Linked DNA regions of Caenorhabditis elegans. The protein of the gene in region 2 interacts with the protein of the main gene of each other region in a pairwise test. Each region holds a gene or a part of one and is shown on either strand. Other genes may lie near its edges.

Evidence for each region.
Region 1: the proteins of npp-2 (region 2) and F54E12.2 interact in a two-hybrid assay, tested with the Caenorhabditis elegans proteins (2 studies listed by BioGRID).

Annotation. Positions count from the first base shown.
Region 1 is NC_003282.8:11,330,012-11,341,226, forward strand, and holds F54E12.2 (Transcription termination factor 2), read right to left. Parts: upstream 6,854-11,215; 5' UTR 6,853-6,853; coding exon 6,784-6,852; intron 6,741-6,783; coding exon 6,189-6,740; intron 6,139-6,188; coding exon 5,414-6,138; intron 5,358-5,413; coding exon 4,356-5,357; intron 4,306-4,355; coding exon 4,193-4,305; intron 4,148-4,192; coding exon 3,802-4,147; intron 3,755-3,801; coding exon 3,443-3,754; intron 3,388-3,442; coding exon 3,231-3,387; 3' UTR 3,069-3,230; downstream 1-3,068. Other genes in the region: sart-3 (Spliceosome associated factor 3, U4/U6 recycling protein), read right to left, coding at 1-215, 265-378, 436-773, 821-1,422, 1,482-1,630, 1,779-2,176, 2,221-2,317, 2,359-2,527 and 2 more; his-55 (Histone H3), read right to left, coding at 7,842-8,252; his-56 (Histone H4), read left to right, coding at 8,511-8,822; his-58 (putative histone H2B 4), read right to left, coding at 9,724-10,095; his-57 (Histone H2A), read left to right, coding at 10,401-10,780, 11,155-11,187.
Region 2 is NC_003279.8:8,286,558-8,296,368, forward strand, and holds npp-2 (Nuclear pore complex protein Nup85), read right to left. Parts: upstream 7,084-9,811; coding exon 6,990-7,083; intron 6,944-6,989; coding exon 6,408-6,943; intron 6,356-6,407; coding exon 6,026-6,355; intron 5,802-6,025; coding exon 5,668-5,801; intron 5,601-5,667; coding exon 4,970-5,600; intron 4,921-4,969; coding exon 4,849-4,920; 3' UTR 4,742-4,848; downstream 1-4,741. Other genes in the region: phaf-1 (PHAF1 protein T01G9.2), read right to left, coding at 36-97, 146-219, 265-377, 423-526, 723-897, 1,129-1,256, 1,307-1,447, 1,492-1,551; kin-10 (Casein kinase II subunit beta), read right to left, coding at 2,644-2,794, 3,327-3,516, 3,684-3,875, 3,926-4,082, 4,240-4,257; Meiotic spindle formation protein mei-1, read left to right, coding at 8,325-8,501, 8,552-8,890, 8,937-9,664.

The DNA.
Region 1 (11,215 bases), on a different chromosome or scaffold from region 2:
GCTGGTTTTCCATGCGATTTATCCTTTTTTACTGGTGGATTGGATAACGCTACCTCTAGTTCTCTTTCTCGAAGCATCAATTTATCACCAGAAGCAACACATTTTTGAGCACTTGCTTCTGTGTCAAAATCTACGAATGCGATTCCTTTTGGTTTTCCATCTTTATGAGTCACGCGTCGAACACTGGTTACTGTACCGAATTTCGAGAATAATGCCTGAAATGTATCGATTTAGAATATAAAATGATAGATAAGTATATATTACCTTTAACTCATCGTCGGTTGCCTGGAAGTGGACATTGCGAACGAAGACTTTCGATTTTTCAAGAGTGGTTGAGAATTTGAATCCAACCCGTTTTTCTGGATCGTTGGCGGAGATCTGAATTTTCAGAAATTAAAATTTCACAAATATTTATAAAGTAAAATTAAAACTTACAAACATTGGCCTTCCCTTCACAGGAACTCGATCTTTCAAGAGAGCTTGCTGTGCCTTCTGATCATTCTCCATTACAACATAGGCGAACCCTCTGTGCACAAGATCCGAATTCGCTTTTCTTGCGAATCGAATTGAAGCAACACCTTCAATGGCTTGTCGAATTTCGTCTTCCGTCGTAGTGAAATCGAGATTAGAAACAAAAATTGTGCGAGCATCTTCCGTTCCTGGAGCTGCTTTCTGAACTGCAAAGGAACCTGGAGCTGGTGTCGACGAAGCATTTGAAGAGGATACAGCTGATGAACTTTTCGCATTGGATGGTGGAAGTGGAGCTTTGAATCCTAAAATTTAATTCAAATTAACTTCTTTACTTTTAAAAATTATTTACCTCCGTCGTCTCCTTTCACTTTTTTTACAATTGGTTCACCTCCCGACGTTCTCTTCTGAATATGATCTTGCTTTGATTTAGGAGCTGGAGCTGGTTTCTCAGAAACTTTCTTTTGTGGTCGAATGGCTCGATGAGCAACCTGTGAATTCACTTTCTCAAGAACCAAATCCAACTCAGCCAATGTTCCTTCTTCTCTTTCAAATTGAACATAGTACATATAGATTTCGTTGATGTTATCCGATACAGAATTGAGAGCTTTGTTTAGATATTTTCGAGCATTTTCTTTATCACCGAATTGTCGCTCAAGACGAACAGCTTCAATCCATTTTCCGGCAAATCTTCCGAATCCTGATGCAAGAATATCATTCCAGATATTTCGACATTTGTCCATGTTCTTCATTAATGAAGCATAGAAATATGCTTGCATTTGTCGATAATCTGCTGTAGTATCCCAAGCCATTGAAAACCATTCTCTGAGTAGCGCTGCACCTTCATCAAACACTTCAGCCATTGGAGAGTAATCCGAAGAACCAGTGAGATGAATTCGACGGCGAAGCAAAAAAGCATAGGTACGGTAAAGACTCCGTCCTTCTTCGGCAGAACTGAAATTACACCGAATAAATATATAAGACTACTGTATGTATTCAAAAAAGAAACTAACTTGATAACATTGCTTCTTGCTCGTTCCCATAATGCATCAATTTCCTCATTTGGCCGACGATCTCGTTCGAAGGCGAGAAGAGCTTGTTGATGGAGAACAAAACTGTATGGACAATGACGCAGAGCTCGAGAGTACACTTTTACAGCAACCTGAACAAAATAATTCAATAATCCAATGGAAGCTTTAGTAAAATAATAATATTCAACAATATTTTTTTCGAATCTTAAAGATAATTATAATCTCTAGACAGACCTCTGGATATTTCCGATAATTCTATAATAAAAAGTATTTCCTTACCTGTGGCAATTTAAGTTCAATATCTGCCCATGCTCCATATGCAATCCAAGCTTCCTCGTCATCGTCCAACTCAGAAACAAGCCTCTCGTGAGCCATTTTTATTCTACTAGGAATTCCACTCTTCTTCTCGTGATCAAAAAACTGTTTCAGACCTTGCTTTTTGGTTTCTTCCTGTTGAATGAGCTCCTCGAACTTTGACAATTGTTCCTTCTGTCGCATTGTTGAATTATATGTCTTTTTCAGTTCTTCGAGTTTATGATGTTGTTTGAATTCTGTGCAGAATTGTTCAGCTAAAACATAAACATCTTCGAGCTGATCTGTTGGGCAATGAAGGGCTCTCTCGAACAGAGCGAAAACTTGATCAGCGAGTCGTTGATAGTCAGGAGCATTCATAGAATCTGAAAATTATAAATTGTTGATGAAAGTACAGTAGTAAGCTCACTTTTCAGGTAGCTCATTTCATATTCCAGAAAAATCAGCCAAATGTGCCCTCCAGAATCGTACCGAGTTCCAAGGTTTTCAAGAGCTTTGCTACAAACCTGTAAAATTATAATAATTACATTTTTCAATCAAAACTTACATCTCGGCAAAACTTGAAATCCTCTTTTTTGTTTTTGTCGTTCGCAACCTTATATGCGTACATTGCTCTTTCGACCCAAATAGTGACATCGTTCTCATCAAACAGAGCTTTTTCAAACATTTCCTCGACTTCTGCGACACTTGGCTCCGGTTTTCTGTTTTGAAAATCTCTGAAATCAGTTTTTAAAAAATTATAATTAACCTATTTTTTTTAACTTACTCAATCCAGTTTTTCCAATTTAATGGATTAAGTGGGGCCCATTCGACAAATTGCCTCCTTTTGATATCAAGCTCGTCGAAGTCACCATTTTTTCGCAATAAAATCAATAATTGGTTTGCAAGAACGACACTTTGACTATCGTCGATCATCTGAAATTGTATTTTGTGTATATGAAGTATATTCGATAATTAGTTCATACCTTTTGCTTGATTTTTTGAATTTCTTCATCCAGATCCTCCATTCCGGAATCATCCGAGCCGGATTCCATATCCACATCGGACATCTTGCAGAATTTTGATGGAAACTGATACAAAAACAATAAATATTAAAATAAGAGAGAAACAGTGCAGAAAAAGCACGGAAATAACGTTTCGAATGCAAAAGTGCGATAGAGCGCGAAAGAAACGGATTTTTTAGAAGAAAAAATATTTTCTCTCCGTATTAAAATATAGTTAGCCAGAATCAAACTGATAAAAAAACAACAAAAAATTCAAATCCATGCAAGCTTTATAGAAATAATCACGGGTAATACTTATGCAATAAATAAAATTTTGCAATCCATAAGCTGAATGAATATTTACAACAGAAATGAAATGTGTGCGGGTGAGGAATGATAATATTGTACATAAAGGCTGGAATAATAGTTTTGAAGATTATTTTTCATTCAATCCGAACAGCATCTTGATATCTGCCGTCGTCAATTTGTTCATCTTGCGAGTAGCATTTCCGTCGAGAACAGACGAAGCTAGCGCGACTTTGTCCTTTTGCAGCATTACAACTCGTTGTTCGATCGTTCCTTTCGTAACCAATCTGCAAGATTAACACACATATTATGAATTTAATTTTCTTGCCGCAATCAACGAACCTATGAATGAAAACATCCTTCTTCTGCCCCATTCGATAAATTCTATCGAAAGCTTGCTGTTCGAGAGCCGGATTCCAATGCAAATCCACCATCACTAAATGATTTCCACCTGTCAGATTGAGCCCAACACCTCCCGCGGCCAGAGAGAGAAGCATAACTCGAGCACCACCTTTCTCCCGATTAAAGCTGTCCACTCTCTCTTGACGATCCTTGACCAGAACTTGTCCGGTAATTGATGTATATTTGAAACCACTTGATTTTATGTGAATTTCGATCAAATTGAGAACCGATGTCCATTGAGAAACAATGACACTGAAAAACATAAATTTGAATTTATTTTCAACTTGGTGAAAACATACACTTTCTCTTTCTTCTCCATAATGTTCTCAACAATTTCAAGTGTATTTTTAATTTTACAGCTCAGGTAGTCCGGATCGAAAATTCGTGTTGTAGCCCTCGGTTTGTCTCTTTCTTCATTGTCACCATTTCCCAACGTCATGTTCATAGTTTTCTCCAGTAACTCATTCAAATCGTCCACATTCGCTTCCTCCGCATTGTCTCCACCGATTAAGCTGAAAGCGTCCATGTCGACTCCTGTTTTTGTGATATTGAAATGAACACAAGCTTGTCGAAGACGAAGAAGAAGCATCAAAACACATGACATCTTTTCGAAGTTCGAGCCGGCTGCCAAATCACGTGGACCAACTGAAAATATTCAATATTAATTTTTTAAACATCACAGATTCTTACAATTGAAAGGATTCTGAACTTCTCCTTCCTTTCCTGCTCTTCTATTGCGACGAGGAATAAATCCATGATTTTTCATATCATTGGAATCTTGCAGAAGTTTTTTGACGAATTTTCTGAAAATTTGTTTTATGATTTTCGCCAATGTTACAAGTGAGTCACTCACTTGGCAGCCTCCATCATAATCTCATAAGCCTGTGCTTCATCTCCGTCCAACTCCAATTCGTGGACTTCTACATTTTTCGGTGGTAACTGAACTAGTTTCTGGTTTGTCACAGCACATGTTTGATCCTTTGTACGACGAAGAAGCAGGTTCTTTGTGAGCAAATTTACGCGATCAGCCATTATTGGTTTCATTGGCATGATCGATTCTTTCCAATATTTATCGTCACTGAATGGACGAATACGCAAGAATCGAACGAGACTGTAAAGATCCCAGAGATTGTTATGGATCGGAGTTCCAGAAAGGCACCATCGAGAGAATGCTGATAAACGACAGACAGCTTTCGAAGCAAGAGACTGCCGATTTTTGATGGTATGCGCCTCGTCAAGAATGACTCGAGACCAACAGATCTGAGCAAGAACGGAGTCGTCTTTTCCAACTGCTCTACGAATTCCAGTATGATTTGAATCCGATTCACCGTCAGATGAATCATCTGCTTTTGATTTAGTCCTTATTTTTTCGATTAATTCATTTGCGATAAGATTGAACGTGGTGATGACGACATCGTATCGAGCAAGACGTCTTGCATCGATGTCCCTCTGCTTTTTTGTGCCATGAAACATGTATGTCGATAGAACGCTGTCATCTAGTCTTCTATCGATTTCAGCATCCCATTGATGAATCAAACTTGCAGGAGCAACAATCAATGTTCCATTCGACGGAATTAGTCCTTGCTCTTTTACCACTTTACGTTTTTCTTTGTCTTTATCGTCATTTCCATCTTCTCTGCGAGCTCTACGAGCAGCTTTTTGATGGGCGATGAGAGAAATCATCGAAAGCGTCTTTCCTAAACCCATATCATCCGCAAGAATTCCACCAGGCTGTGGTTGAGTTTCTCTCCAACGCATCCAGGTTAGGCCTGCCTTTTGATGTGGCATCAGTTCAAGTTTGAATCCTTTCGGAGTGTCCGTGAGCTCAGTTTCATCGGGGATTGTGTGAGTGGCCCTGAAAGAGGATACACATTTTCACACAGCTTCGAGAAAAAGTTAAACAAGACTTACTCAGCAAGTTGTCGAACTACTCGATCAGAAACGAGTTGTATGCGTTTGTATTTTTCATCGGTCATCTTTCCAGACATCATTTTCTTGTTGTCCTTCTCCAACATGGCATTGAAGTCTGGCTGAGGAGCTTTGAGAGGATCCACGATATGTCTTTTTGGCAACAAACCATTTTGAGTCATGACAGATCCGGAAGGGAACTTTGGAGCCACCTGTCGATGACTCGGTTCATCATCTTCAATCACGAAGATTTCATCATCCTCATCATCGTCGACGATCTCTTCAGCAAGTCCCATTTCTTTTCTTCTCTCCACTTCATCATCAAGCTCTTGAAATTGTTTAATTACCCGTCTGCCACCATCAGGTAGATCTAATGATAACGAAATTAATCCCATAACTTTATTCTTTTTCGCCAAAAGCTCTTTGTAGGAAAGCTTCGCGTACTCCGAGTTAATTGGCGAAGTTGGCAGTCGTGGACGTTGTGGCTCTGGTGGTCTCGATGAAGTTGTTTTTACTGGTGTTACATCAATAATGTCGCTATCATCCAAGTTAATGGCAATCCCTGATTTCCGTTTTTCATTCGAAACAACTTTCTCTGGAGTCACTTCGATAATGTCACTATCATCTTGTTTAGCCGTTGTTCGAGGTGCAGGAAATGATTCATCAACTATTTCTTCTCTTCCGCCAATATCGTTTATTGCCGTGGAAGTAGCTACTTTCTGGACATTCTGAAATTTATTATATTAATCGCCAATATGAAATTGAATTCAAACACTACCAAAAATGTGCTCGAGTTATATTCTGATGAACGGCGATCACTTTTAGCAATAGGAGAAAGAGCTGTTTCAAAAAGTCCAGTGGAAACTTCTGGTGATTTCTTGACGTCAGCAGACGATCCCCATCCACCTCCAGATGCAGCTCTCGTTGGCGAACTATCCTCGGCATTTTGCTTCAATGATTTGCGGAGGAGACGTTCACGAAGCTGAGCTTTTGATCGCAGATCAGTGGATTCCGCCAGTTTTTTGCTGATTGGAGTCAGTGGCTTGTTCTCGTCATATTGTACAAAACTCCGACTGCGATCATGGCTCTCGTGGTTTTGCGAGGAGCTTCTGGAACTTCCATATGAAGAACCGAGTCTCGTTGAAGCATTCGATTTGGATTTTGGCGTCGAAGTGGCGAAGCTATTTGTGCAATGCGATGCTGTTGAAGATGGTGTATTGACAATAGGCGAATTTACAGATTTCATCGACTCATCGACAACTGAATCTTCCTGGTCGTCACTTTCTTTTGACTGGCGTTGAGGACTGGATCGGCAGATGAAGTCATCGATCTGAAATTAGTCCTCAGTTAACGTTTTAAAAATAAAAACCCACTTTCTCATCTGATTGAGAATCGTCTGAAGATGTATCAAACATTATTCTTGTTCGACGTGGCGAACTCATCCTGAAAGAAATCAGAATTAAAATTACTTTTACAATATATATCTAGTAAAGAAACAAACGGTCACGAATTTAGTCCAACTTTGAAAAGAATATGTACTCAGAACTCAACGTTTGAAAATGGCGGTGAAATTGGAACACAAATGGCCGAGGAAAACTAACATTTTCTGCCACATAAAATGAAGATATTTGTTTCAAAACAGAAAACGGTATCGCAGATGCGTTAATAATTAAAATAAACATTCAAATTTACCATGTTTGAACTAATTTTGATCAAGAATTTGTTTGAAAATAGAAAAATACAAGAGCGTTTCAAGCAAGAGCACGAGAGAGAGACAAATAATTTTTTCGCGCGCGCGCGCCGTGAATAACAAACGTGGTACTGTAATCGTTGCGAGACCTCCGACTCCAATAGCATAATGTTCCTACATGTTTTTCACTGGAACATTTTATTTTTAATTTAAATTAAATAAATAAATAATTAATATTAAATCGCAATTTTACGCTGAATGAAAATAATACGGAAGTTTTTATCAGATCATCAATTTTAATTCATACTTTGGGCTCGAGTTATTTCCCAAATTGTGATTGAACAGGTTTCGTATCTGAATCCTGCAACTTTCAGTACATCAGATACGATTTTCAAGCAGCGACACCTCAGTTTATGGATCCTGAATGTGCCTTTCATAAATTTCATAATACTATTTCAATAATAAATTCATAATACTAATGTAATACTAATTTCATAATACTAATGTATAGAGGCGCATTAAAACAAATAAGTATTGGGCCGAAACCTTTTTTATAAATCTGCGAACTTCTGACGAATTTGTAGTTCGGTTCTCCGGGCCTTCAAAATGATACAAAAAACAAATAAAGAAAACAATTTTATTTTACACAAGGACTGGATTTATGCATTTGTGGCCCTAAAGAGGGCCGTTGGGTTCGGTTAAGTTTTGAGATTAAGCTTGCTCAACTACCAAAAAAGGTATTTAAGCGCGCTCTCCTCGGATGCGTCTGGCCAATTGGATATCCTTTGGCATGATGGTGACTCGCTTAGCGTGGATGGCACACAAGTTGGTGTCCTCGAAGAGTCCGACAAGGTAAGCCTCGGCAGCCTCCTGAAGAGCCATGACAGCGGAAGATTGGAATCGAAGATCGGTCTTGAAATCCTGAGCAATCTCACGAACAAGGCGCTGGAATGGTGCTCTGCGGATTAGAAGTTCGGTTGATTTCTGGTAACGTCTGATCTCACGAAGAGCGACGGTTCCTGGGCGATAACGATGTGGTTTCTTGACTCCTCCGGAAGCTGGAGCCGATTTGCGGGCAGCTTTGGTGGCCAATTGCTTTCTTGGAGCCTTTCCTCCGGTCGATTTACGGGCGGTTTGCTTGGTACGAGCCATTGCGTTTAGGTTGATAATCCGTGGGGACTGTAAAAAAGAGAAACCAACGACTGACTTTGTACGCAGCTGCGGTGGGAGGGCGGGCGGGCGCACTTCTGTCCTTGTGGCAATTAGAACATTCGGTGTGTTACAGACAAAGGAAAGGTGTCCTCGCAGAGTGGTGCAATGTGACTCCGCCTAGCCACCACAGCTGTGTACAAAAGGAATACTGTGATGTCATTTCTTCATCTCACTTGTGAGTCTTCAACGAATTCAACAATGTCCGGACGTGGAAAGGGAGGAAAAGGCCTTGGAAAAGGTGGTGCCAAGCGCCATCGCAAAGTTCTCCGTGATAACATCCAAGGTATCACCAAGCCAGCCATTCGCCGTCTCGCCAGAAGAGGAGGAGTCAAGAGAATCTCCGGATTGATCTACGAGGAAACCCGTGGAGTCTTGAAGGTGTTCCTTGAGAACGTCATCCGTGATGCTGTCACCTACTGCGAGCACGCCAAGAGAAAGACCGTCACCGCCATGGACGTCGTCTACGCTCTGAAGCGCCAAGGAAGAACTCTGTACGGATTCGGAGGATAATTATTATCTTTTCTGTTTTCATACAAACCAAATACCGAACCCAACGGCCCTCTTTAGGGCCACAAATATCCAAAATCCTAATTGATCTCGTTAAATAAATCTTAAATAATTTTGATTTTTCTATTTTAGCATTTTCAAATACAAGTTGACATGATATTTTCTTTATTGCTTTGCACAACTACATACTTTTTTTAAATTTAAAATTAGAATTGCATGCAAGTAGACATTCGGTATTCGATTTTCTTCGTTCGTTCTCAATTTTATTTACAAAAGGGTATATGAAAGTCTGCACAGTTTTGTTTCCCGAACCATATGAATTCACTTTATAATTCAAGTTGGTGATCGAAATGATTTAGATATCCAAGAACATGAAGCGGAAGAAAGCTTGAAGCCTGAAAACCAGTGCCTGAATCATATATCTCGCCTGATATCGGAAATCAAGTAATTATTTCATAGCGTTTTTTCAAACTTCTTGTAATTTGATGTAGTAATAGTTTTTCATAACATTTTTCAACCAATTTTGTGAGATGACCCGAGATTTTTCCAACAAGATTGAAAACCGAAAGTTTTTATAAGCCTCGGCCATTAGCTTCCCTTTCTCTGTGCAACTTCATAAACTACGGAAATACAAGTTTTTGGAAATATTCGAAGAATCCCATCTACAATTTGAAAGATAGAATTCCGAAGATGCTTTGAATTTCTCTCTCTGAAAGAATGACTTTTAGAAAATGAATACTGGGTTAATCTCAAATTAACTGAACTTGGAAAATGCAAAACCTGAAAATTATGAAAGAGTATAATTGAAAATTATTCATTCACTTGGTTAATAACATAGGATTATAAGATTTGTGGCCCTAAAGAGGGCCGTTGGGTTCGGTGGGGTAGTTTTCAGCCTAATGGCTTACTTGCTGGAAGTGTACTTGGTGACGGCCTTGGTTCCCTCAGACACGGCGTGCTTGGCAAGTTCTCCTGGGAGAATCAAACGGACAGCGGTTTGAATTTCGCGGGATGAGATCGTTGAGCGTTTGTTGTAATGAGCAAGACGGGAAGCTTCCGAAGCGATGCGTTCGAATACATCGTTGACGAAGGAGTTCATGATAGACATGGCCTTGGAGGAGACTCCGGTGTCTGGGTGAACTTGCTTGAGAACACGGTAGATGTAGACGGAGTACGATTCCTTGCGGGCATGACGTCTCTTCTTTCCGTCCTTTGGCTTGGCAACGACGGTCTTGGCGGCCTTCTTGGCTCCCTTGGCAGATGGCTTTGGTGGCATGATGAGAATGAACTTGAATCAAGTATGAGGAAATGGTTGGAGAGACACCTATTTATGTAAAAACTGCGGTGGAGGGGCGGAGCTTCCCGCGGGGACACATTACTGAGTGCACACAAAATTCCGAATGTACCGAGGTTAATAGGGGGACAAAGAGAAGTGAGAGAAATGTGTCCTACCAGAGAGTGCGGAATGTTCAAATAGAGGTGTCCCCGCATGAAACTCCGCCCCTCCACCGTAGAAATGAATATAAACAGACAGTTTCGATTCATTCTTCAGATTCGTCTTACGAACACCAATCGCTCATCATGTCTGGACGTGGAAAGGGAGGCAAAGCCAAGACCGGAGGAAAGGCCAAGTCACGCTCATCAAGAGCTGGACTTCAATTCCCAGTCGGTCGTCTTCACCGTATTCTTCGCAAAGGAAACTATGCTCAACGTGTTGGAGCCGGAGCCCCAGTCTACTTGGCCGCTGTTCTTGAATATCTCGCTGCTGAGGTTCTCGAGTTGGCCGGTAACGCTGCCCGTGACAACAAGAAGACCCGTATCGCCCCAAGACATCTTCAACTCGCTGTCCGCAACGACGAGGAGCTCAACAAGCTTTTGGCCGGAGTGACCATCGCCCAAGGAGGAGTTCTTCCAAACATCCAAGCCGTTCTTCTCCCAAAGAAGACTGGAGGAGATAAGGAGTAAGAACTTTCTTCTTTAAACAAACCCACCGAACCCAACGGCCCTCTTTAGGGCCACAAATATCCAAAAACCTGACAATCCCATTTTAATAAAGTTACATTTATTACATTTATTTTGAATAATCTGTTCGCTTGAATTCAATATTGTTATTATGTTTCCACATAAATTCAACGATCAGTTCGAATACGATATATGGAAATTCAAGAAGTACGATAGTTACAGTTACAAGTTATTTTTAACTATGAGCACCGTGTTTTTATATGAACAAATTACCACATGTTTCTCATAAACGCTCCGAAATTGTTATTTACATGACTAAAAAGTAATTGTTTAAATTAACTTTTGTTCCTAGTCTTACGGATTAATGCTTCAGATTGTATATCATGGACTTGACTTCGAAAATGTTGTAAGTGACATATCTTCTAAAAAATCTC
Region 2 (9,811 bases):
AAAGAATTTGAATTTTCAAGAGAACGAGAACGTACTTCATCTTGTCATCGGACTTGTAGAAGACCTTTGTCGGGGCTCCAAGAATCGATTGCACATCCTAAAATTTAAATTTTTAGAACAAATTTTTTTGATTGAGAAAACCAACCGAAACAGAGTCTCCAAAATAGATTTGTCGTGTGTACGTGGATACATCATACTCTCCATCGACAATTCTTCCGTCTGCAAATATTCACTTTTTTTAATAATTTCAAAAAATTCCAGTACTTTGAGTATCAAATTGAATATCAATTCCAACAATATTCCCATTTTCCCAAATTGCTTCGACTTTTCTCGTCCGATTTTGACCACAATAACACGAGAATGGAGTATCCACGGATCTTCAAATTTTGAGAAATAAATAGAAATAAATAATAAATTCTCACTCTGGCTCAGATGGATTTGGTCCACGATAAATGGACATCTTGGTAAGTTTTGGTTGAGAGTTGGCATCATATTTCAGCGAACGAAGATTTCCACCAAATCCAGGCTGAAATTGAAGAATGTTTGAAATTTCGGTTTTTGGGAGATATAAAAAACTTTTTGGAAATTAAAGGTGAAGTAGCGGCTGTAGGTTAGAAAAAACTCTTTTAATTTTTTACTATATTCGGTATCGTATTTTTGATTCGAAAAAACCCACAGACGGTACTCCAACTTTAATACCCAAAAAGATCAAACTACAGTACCCTGACTTCCAAATTCGAATTTTCTCCTCCATATGGGAAACAGAAAGATAATCCCGGCCAACTTTGCACATAGATATTGTGCTTATCATCATATGATCCTGGATGTGTCGATCCAAAAAATTCGTTGACCCGATCCAACGTCGCCATGTTATTTGGATCAGAGAAGATTGTATCGCTGAAAATTTTTATGAAGAAATTGTATGACTATCTTGGCAATTGAAATTGATTTTTTTTCTTTGATAGTTTCACAATGACCCGAAACGACCGAATTCAACAGAGAGAATTTTCAATTTTCAGATTTTATGCAAGGCTGAAATTTTTCGAATTTTCAAAACGCCATAATTTGTTTTAAATTCAATAGTTTTAAACGAGCTTCTGTAGTTTTTTTTTTTTGATGGTATCATACTTATAAGTAAGTGTAATCATTGAAAGATTATCCACTTCAATTAGCTTGATAAGCTGTGAAAGGCCATCAAAATAGAGACGAATTCCTGTAGAACCGATATAGATGATGATATCCTGGTAGAATGGATCCTGAATTTAATTTAACTTTATTTAAAAGTATAATTAGTTAATTTCTATACCTTTTTACTGTACTTCAATTCGACTTTTGTAAGCATTCTTGGATGTTGCTGAATCATTGCAATACATTGATTGATTGGCATACCAAGCACAAATTCGAATTGTGAACTTTTTAGACCAACATCTGGTACAACCTTGAATTTCTTTGGAAAATATTTATTATTGATTTTTTGACTTTAAAACAAACCGTGAAGCTCAGATCTTCTTCAGTTGATGGTTTCTTTGTGACTTGCTGTTTTCCATTCATTTTCGATGATTCAAAGCTGTAAAAGCTTTTATTTAATTTTTGAAGAGTTGGAGAAAAAACAAAGAAGAATTTTTAAACTATGATTCACAAGAAAAATATATATTAAAATTGAGAACTGATATTTACTTGGTATATTCTTTTCTAAATTTTTTTTCCGCCAATAGTACGGTACCCGGTCTGGGCGCGACGATTGTTTTCTGAAAACAAATGGGTCTGCGCCTTTAAGAAGTACTGTTATTTTAAACGTTCATTGCTACTGAATTTTTATCGACTTTTCATACTTTTTCCCACGATTTGTAAAAATTTTGTGTCGTTTTCTTTTATTATTTTTTTTAACAAATACATTTTTACCGAAAAACACTGAAAATCGATAAAAATTTTGCAGCAACGATAGTTTGATATTACAGTACTCTATAAAGGTACACGTCCGTTTTTATTTTACAAAAAAGGCGTATCGAGACCGGGGTATCGCCTTTTCCTCGCAAAATTTCACGTTTATGCAATATAATTTAAAAATATATTGGAATTAATGTGAAAAGCTGTTCAAAAGTTTTTTCTTCAGGTAAAATATGGAGCGTTTTCAAAAATTGTAATTTTGAAATATTTCAAAATAAGCAGAAATCAATGTGCTAATCGTTAACCAAATCAACTGGAGATATTAAAACCGTTCAAATAGTAAATAAAAAAGAAAAGAAACACATGACGTCGATGGCAGAATCGAAGGCTGTGACTGAGAGACTGCAGTAGAGCGCACTTTCCCGCCCAGCTGTTTCCGCGTGACGAAGACAGGCACAAATAAATAACGTTGCACTTTTTACACAGAAAATTAGGAACACTCTTTTTGAGATGTATGGGATCTACCGTTTCATTCATTTCTTAAATTCGCATAATGTTGGAATAGAACAGATTTAGAAAAGAAGAGAAACACGCATGGAAGAACCGCCGGATTCTTGAGTTTTGTCGGAAAAGAAAATTTTGGGGAGAAGAAAAAACGAAACAATGAAGAAAATAAGGATGTTGTGTTGAGAGGGGGGACATTCTGAATGGAAACTGGAAAGAAGAAATCAAAACAAAAATAAGGAAGAAAGTGGCTCAGAGACCATAATTATTGAATTGTCCTCCAGATTGTTGCCCGGCTGGAGTCGTGTTGTTTTGTGCTGCGGCAACGTTATTCGCCGTATTTCCGCCGCTGTTTCCCTCCTGTCCTCCATAAGCAACAGGATGAATTTTGAAACCGTAGAGTCTGAAAATTTTGATATTTAAAAATTTACACATAACATAATTATTATTGTACTAAGTTCTGCTAAATTTTTAAAGTGGATAAAATATTATTGTTTGATCTTCTAATTTCTAAAATTATTTCGAATCTAATTTAGTACAGCCAACTTATTTCGGCAATAGAGTAAATCTTCTAATTTCAGTCTACCAAGTCAACTTTTTGAATTAAAAATGATTTTAGAAATGTGTCAAAATATTTTATTGATTCGAAATTGCAACTTATTCTTGTTGAAATATTTGAAAAAAGATCTCAAATAGAGCCTGAAAGTTGCCGAATGCCGAAAAAATAACCTTCAGACACTAGTCGTTTTGAATTTTCCAACATTATTAAGTTGTGTTTTCGAATCAAGCAAATATTTTACTTCATTTTTTATTCAAAAAGTTTAATTGGTATACTGAAATGAAAAGATTTACTCGATTGCCGAGATTTTAAAGATTTTTTAAATTAGAATTTCGGATTTTCAAATATTTAGCTTAATATATATCCTCTGACATACTTTGGAACGAATTGAGTGACTGGTCTGCGTGGACGCAGATCAGGATGAACAAAGAAGAGCATATGTGGGAATCCGGTGCCAAAATAGCTTCCATCAGTATGTTGATGACGTGATGATCGTGGAACGAAAACATCATTGCAACGTGGACAGTACAATTTCACCATAGCCTCGCCAGGAACATCAGACAATCCTGGAAAAATTGGAATTTTACAGAAATTTTAGTGTAAAAACAAATATTTGTTTTAAATTTTATTGGAAATGCACTTTTAAATTAGGAAAATTTAGTACTTTATAGTTTCACTTTTCTCAAAAAAAATTATCCGCAACCAATGAAGTAGCGATTTTTTTATAACTCACCAATTGGAAGCATTGGCTGATTTTCACAGTAGACACGTGGGCAAACTCCAAAGTCATGATCACGCCACTTTTCGACCATCTGTGAGATTCCTCTATTCGTAAGAATATATCTAGCGTGAATGAGTCCATAAAGCATTTCAGCGGCTTGTTCAACAAGATCAGTGTTCGTTGCGTTATCCTCTATGTCATCTTCTAGAAAAAGGTTACATTGCGGGGGCACATGAAGTCAGCAAAAATATCACCTGGTTCTAAGTCAAGAATCATGTCAAGAGCCTGTCGATACTTGGGCACTTGCTCATTGAGACCTGTCAAATTGAACCGATCCTGAATATATTCCTCGTCGACTTCACAGAAAAACTCATTTCCACGAAGGCCACAGAACCATGTGATCCATGATACCTGAACAAAAAAAAAGATTCGAAACTAAAAATAAATTTCACCAATCGACCATAAAACTTGTTATTAAATTCATAGTTTAAAATATAAATCATTAAAAAAAACGGCTATTTAGATTTTTCTGATTGTTTTCCGCAGAAAATAGAAATATAATACAAACCTCCTCCGAACTACTCATGACTTCTGATCCAGACAAACTAGCGCTTTGTTCTGACTGCGAACCAGACTCTGCCTGTAATCAAAAGAAATTTTTTTTTGATAATATTTTAATGATAACTCACCGAAGTGGAATCGAGTTGGCGCCAGCGAGCAGAAGCCGTGGCGTTCACGTCGATGACTGGCCGAGTTGCGCGCAAAGCACACAACTGCCTGAAATTATGGGTACAGGTTGGGTGAAATGGTTCAGAATTATTGAAAAAAGCAGAAGAAAATCAATAGATCACAGTCATGTGCGCCCACATAAATTCATAAACTCCAGCAGTTTTCTGTCGAAACAGAAAAAAGAGGACGAGGGAGCTGACGAGGCCTTGTGGACGTGCAATGGGGCACGGTTGCATAGCACATAGGTCACTATCGATCTCTGGGGAAAACTCGAAAAGAAGGTAGGTTGGCCTCGAAATTCAACGAGTTTGTGTGGAAAACCAAGTAATAGTAAAAAAATTAAGAGATGTGATCCTTATTCACATACAAAAAATTAAATTTTCTGAGATCCCAGAACAAAAAAGAACATCGGCAAATGTAAATAAAATAAAATTAATTCATAAATTATTCAAGAGCACGCAATTCCTTTCGCAATCGAGTCTGTCAACTTGAGCATTACCATCTTTTTGAGCACTTTCACCTGTAACAATTTATAATTATATGATCATAAAAATGTCTATAAAACTTACCTTTTTCATATAATTATCATTCAAATCTCGATGTTTATCAAGCGTAAACGTTGACAAAAAGGTTGAGAGCTCATAGAGAATCTCCTTGGAAAATCGGATTCCAGCACGCCCATCCTCTTTGATAATCGTGATTAAATAATCGAAGAGATCATAGTAATACTGAGTTGGAACATCAGGCATCATAATAAGCGGTATCAGATGTTGAACACAGTCCAGTACATCACCACAGTGCATCATCTTCACAAATCGTTGATAAGAGTAGAGGAAGGTAAGAGATGGAAGTGAGAGTACAGAATGATTGGTTATTGAAGATAAAACTCTTAATGCAGCCAATTCATCCTTCGAACTTGAACCAACAATTCGAGATACTGTCCAGTCAATTGTCTTTTTGGATCCAGTTTTCAACGCCCAAGCGAGTGTTGAACTCCAATGTCCTTGCTTCAGATACCGGAAAGTCATTGTATTTGTCACACAACTTTTCGCGTCTTCCAGTCGATGCTCTTCACATATTTCCAGCAACTGCTCAGCCATCTCATCATCCTCAATGTGAAGCCCTTCGATGTGTGTTTCGAGACGTAGAAGTCCTTCGGTACCACACGCAATAAGATATCCGGCTCCGATTTCCCACAGACTATAAAAAATTTGTGAAGTTATATTTTAAAATGTTTTTTCAGTAATTAGAAATTTCAAAAACTAACGGAGAATGAGAGATAAGAACACTGGCGTAGTCCAACATGTGCATTTTCCTCATCACTTCAAACTCGGGATCCAATGTGGATTTGTGAATAAGATCAACCAGGTGAACTGCGAGCCAGGGATTCGAGGCAATCAACTGAAATTTTATTCAGTAAAATTAATTAATTCTTATTTAAAACAATCTAGAATTTATTTTGAAGAAAATTGTTAAATATTCTTGAACATTATTTTGATTTTTTTTTATTGGGATAAAATTGAATGAAATGTTCTGTCGCCGTTTAATTAATCGTGAAAGAAATAGTGAGCCTATTTTCAAGAGATATTTATATTTAATTTAATTTCTTGAATAAAAACAAGAACCTGTTGAAAGTTAATATCATCCTTCGAAATAAGACACCAGAATACATCATTTTCCTTTGCACCCTCCTCTTCCTCTTCTCCAACGAATAGTGTTCTACACTCATCAGCTAGCTCAATGAGCTCGACATGTCCGGCGAATGGATTCTTGACAAGCACAAAGAATGGCAGAAAATGCCACCACGTGTCGAAAATCCGTGAAGCCATAGATACGAGGTATCGTTCCTCACCGAGTAGGAGCTTCGTAAGATATTTGAAATTTTCGTTGCTCCCGTACTTCCCACTTGTCAAATTTTCACGCATGATATCCTTCCATTCATTTACTGTGTTAGCCTGAAATAAGAATATTACGAAGTTTAAGAATTATTATATAAATGGGTCTTACTAATGCTTCGTCGACTAAGTTTTCGGGATTGAAGAATGTGAGAGCCTCAATGAATGCATCACATTCTGATCCGCCTCCATGTAGCTCCAACAGTTCAACACAATCGCTGAAATTGCAACTAAGCAAGCTGACTGCTACTCCCTTCCAATATTCTTCTGGAATCGTCTTCCCCGGATGCAGATATTCCACAGCTGATTCCATGGCTCCTCTAGAAAACGTGAAGCTCTGATTGGCCCATGAAATAAGATCCGCACATATCGAGCTATCACCTCTTCCAAACCATAATTTCTCGTAAAGTGACCACAAAGCAAAGTCTGTCATGAAGTCGGAACTGCTGTGAGACACGGCGGCATTGTAGAGAACTGAACGATAAGCTCGAGAGAATGTGCAGCAAGTAGGCGTGTCTAGAGGTGCATCAGGTGAGGAGCCTTTTTGACATTTATCAAATACAGAATACATTTCGATAACAAGTCGTCTGAGATTTGGTGTCGCAAGAATTTGTCGATTTTGTGAAACTTTCTCGACCAAGACTGTTTCTGAAAAATCTCTTATGTTGGAAACTGAAGAAGATGCAATTTTTACCTTTATTTGAAAATCCTTTTTTATCTGTTAGGAAGGCGAAGACCGTGGAGGAGTCGCTGACAGCTATCCCGAATTCTCGAGCGACATCCGTCATCTGAAAGAGATACTAATGTCATGTGAAGTGGTATTAAAAATATAGTAAGCACGGTAGAAACATTAACTTATAAAATTGAGATTTCTGATAAATAAAATTTTTCCGGGAGTTCTGTAAAACTTCTTACGGTTTTAACTTGATAATTCCATAGGGTTTAAAATTTCCTTTTGTTTCTTGAGTTTCTTCTCGGAATTTGAACAAAAATAACGCGTTTAATCTCGAATCAGTACAATGATGGACTACACGGCAGTTTTAAAAAACCAATTAATAATAATAATCCTAAAAAATGAGAAGAATATTTAAGAAAATGTAAAAGTTTTCCGCGGAATTCCGCTAAAATTCGAAAATTGAAAGTGTTCAAATTGCAAGCGATTGTGCATTCAGACGTGACAGTGTCTGGGGTGTATTGCGTACTCGACATTTTAACTGACGACACTTGTACTTTTGCGCCATACTTCCGGAGCTCCAGCTCCGCGGAGCCCTGAGCAATTATTTTTTTACTTTTTATGAAAAGCTTTCTATAGATATCTTTTAAGAAGTTACACTATAATTGTGCAAATCAAACTGGCTCCGGACAACACAAATTTCGTCTATACCTTTATGATCTTTTTTTGTTAAACAAGTGAAACAATTATTTCCTTTTCAAACTGCTCTTGTTTCTTCTCTTTATTAATCAATTTTTTTTTTTTTGCTTTGTGTAAATTAATTGTTTGTCGCGGATGAGCTAATTCTGAGGTTTGACCAGCAGAAATCTGTTTTCTGAAAAATCAATAACTCGCCGCTTAATTTTGGTTTTATTCAAGTGATATGCAATTAGAAGGTTCTAATCATTTATATCTCGCTGAAAGATCTCAGATTTCAAGCCTTTTGCTAAGGATTTAATTCCTAAAACTTTTTTTGACCTATCATTTTTTGTGTGATCTACCGCTGTAAATACTTGTTGTTTTGCGGCTAAACTCTTTCAATGTTTCCAACAAGTGAGCCAATATCAAGTAAAAAAAGAAAAATCGTTTTCTATTCAACCATTTTATTCTGTAAATAATATTAAATTCATCTTCACGGTACAATCTTCTTCTCCCATCTAATAAAGTCCACGCACACTCCGTTCCGTCGTTTCCCTATTCGTTATCATTCATCATCTTGCCATTTTCTTCTCCGCCAAATCCCATTGTCTTATACTAAATTTCATCCTCTCGTCTGTAGAAGTGTATATTATTGAAAAATTAAAGTATATTTTCAGGATGAATGGGGATGTGCAGTCAGTCATTCGCGGATATCTGGAGCGAGCCCAAGTCGCGAAAACAATGTCCGATGCCGGACGATGGAATGAGGCTGGTGATCTTCTTCGTCAGCTCATGACAGATGTCAAAAGCTGTAAAATTTCGGCAAGCAACAGAGACGAGCATGACGCAAGAAATGTACGTAATATAAATCTTTTAAAAGCTTGTTGAATTATTTGAAATTTCAGACATTCCTACGAGCCCTAGAGGCTAATTTGAAGCTTGTCCAACAAAATGTGCGCGATGAAGATGACCTACACGAGGCGATGACGCGACAAAGTGGAAGTCCAGAGCCACCTGCAGACCCAGATGTTTGGTCCAAACCATCGCCACCGTTACCATCCTCATCGAAATTTGGAGCAACAAAGAAAGGAGTTGGAGCAGCAGGTCCACGTCCCAGAGAAATATCAAAGTCAACGTCGTCGATGAGCACGAATCCGGCTGATGTGAAGCCTGCGAATCCAACACAAGGAATACTGCCTCAAAATAGTGCTGGAGATTCATTCGATGCATCGGCTTATGATGCGGTAAGTTATTATGTTTTCCAGAAACAAAAATCAGAAATCTTTTCAGTACATTGTTCAAGCGGTGCGTGGTACAATGGCTACAAATACGGAAAATACAATGTCTTTAGATGATATAATCGGAATGCACGACGTGAAGCAAGTTCTGCACGAAGCCGTCACTCTTCCACTCTTGGTGCCAGAATTCTTCCAGGGTCTCCGTTCACCATGGAAAGCAATGGTTCTCGCTGGACCACCTGGAACTGGAAAGACTCTTATCGCACGTGCGATTGCTTCAGAGTCTAGTTCAACTTTTTTTACCGTTTCCTCGACTGATCTGTCCAGCAAGTGGCGTGGTGATTCCGAGAAGATTGTTCGTCTGTTATTCGAACTTGCACGGTTCTATGCTCCATCCATAATCTTCATCGATGAGATTGACACACTTGGTGGACAACGTGGAAATTCTGGAGAACACGAAGCGAGTCGGCGTGTTAAATCCGAGTTTCTGGTACAAATGGACGGGTCACAGAATAAATTCGATTCGCGACGTGTATTCGTGCTGGCCGCCACAAATATTCCATGGGAGCTCGATGAGGCACTCCGAAGACGTTTCGAAAAGCGAATCTTCATTCCACTGCCAGATATAGATGCAAGAAAGAAGCTTATCGAAAAATCAATGGAAGGAACTCCGAAATCCGATGAAATTAACTATGATGACTTGGCGGCAAGGACTGAAGGATTCTCAGGAGCTGATGTTGTGTCTCTATGCAGAACTGCTGCTATCAATGTGTTGAGAAGGTAGGTAGCAGGAATGTGCAGAAAATCTTTTTGGAAAACGTGCTTGTTTCAATAAGATAATCCAATATTTCGAATCAAAAACTGGTATAGAAATGGCAACTTTCATGCACTATTTAATGTTTTTAAACGCTTGTAGACAAAATTAAA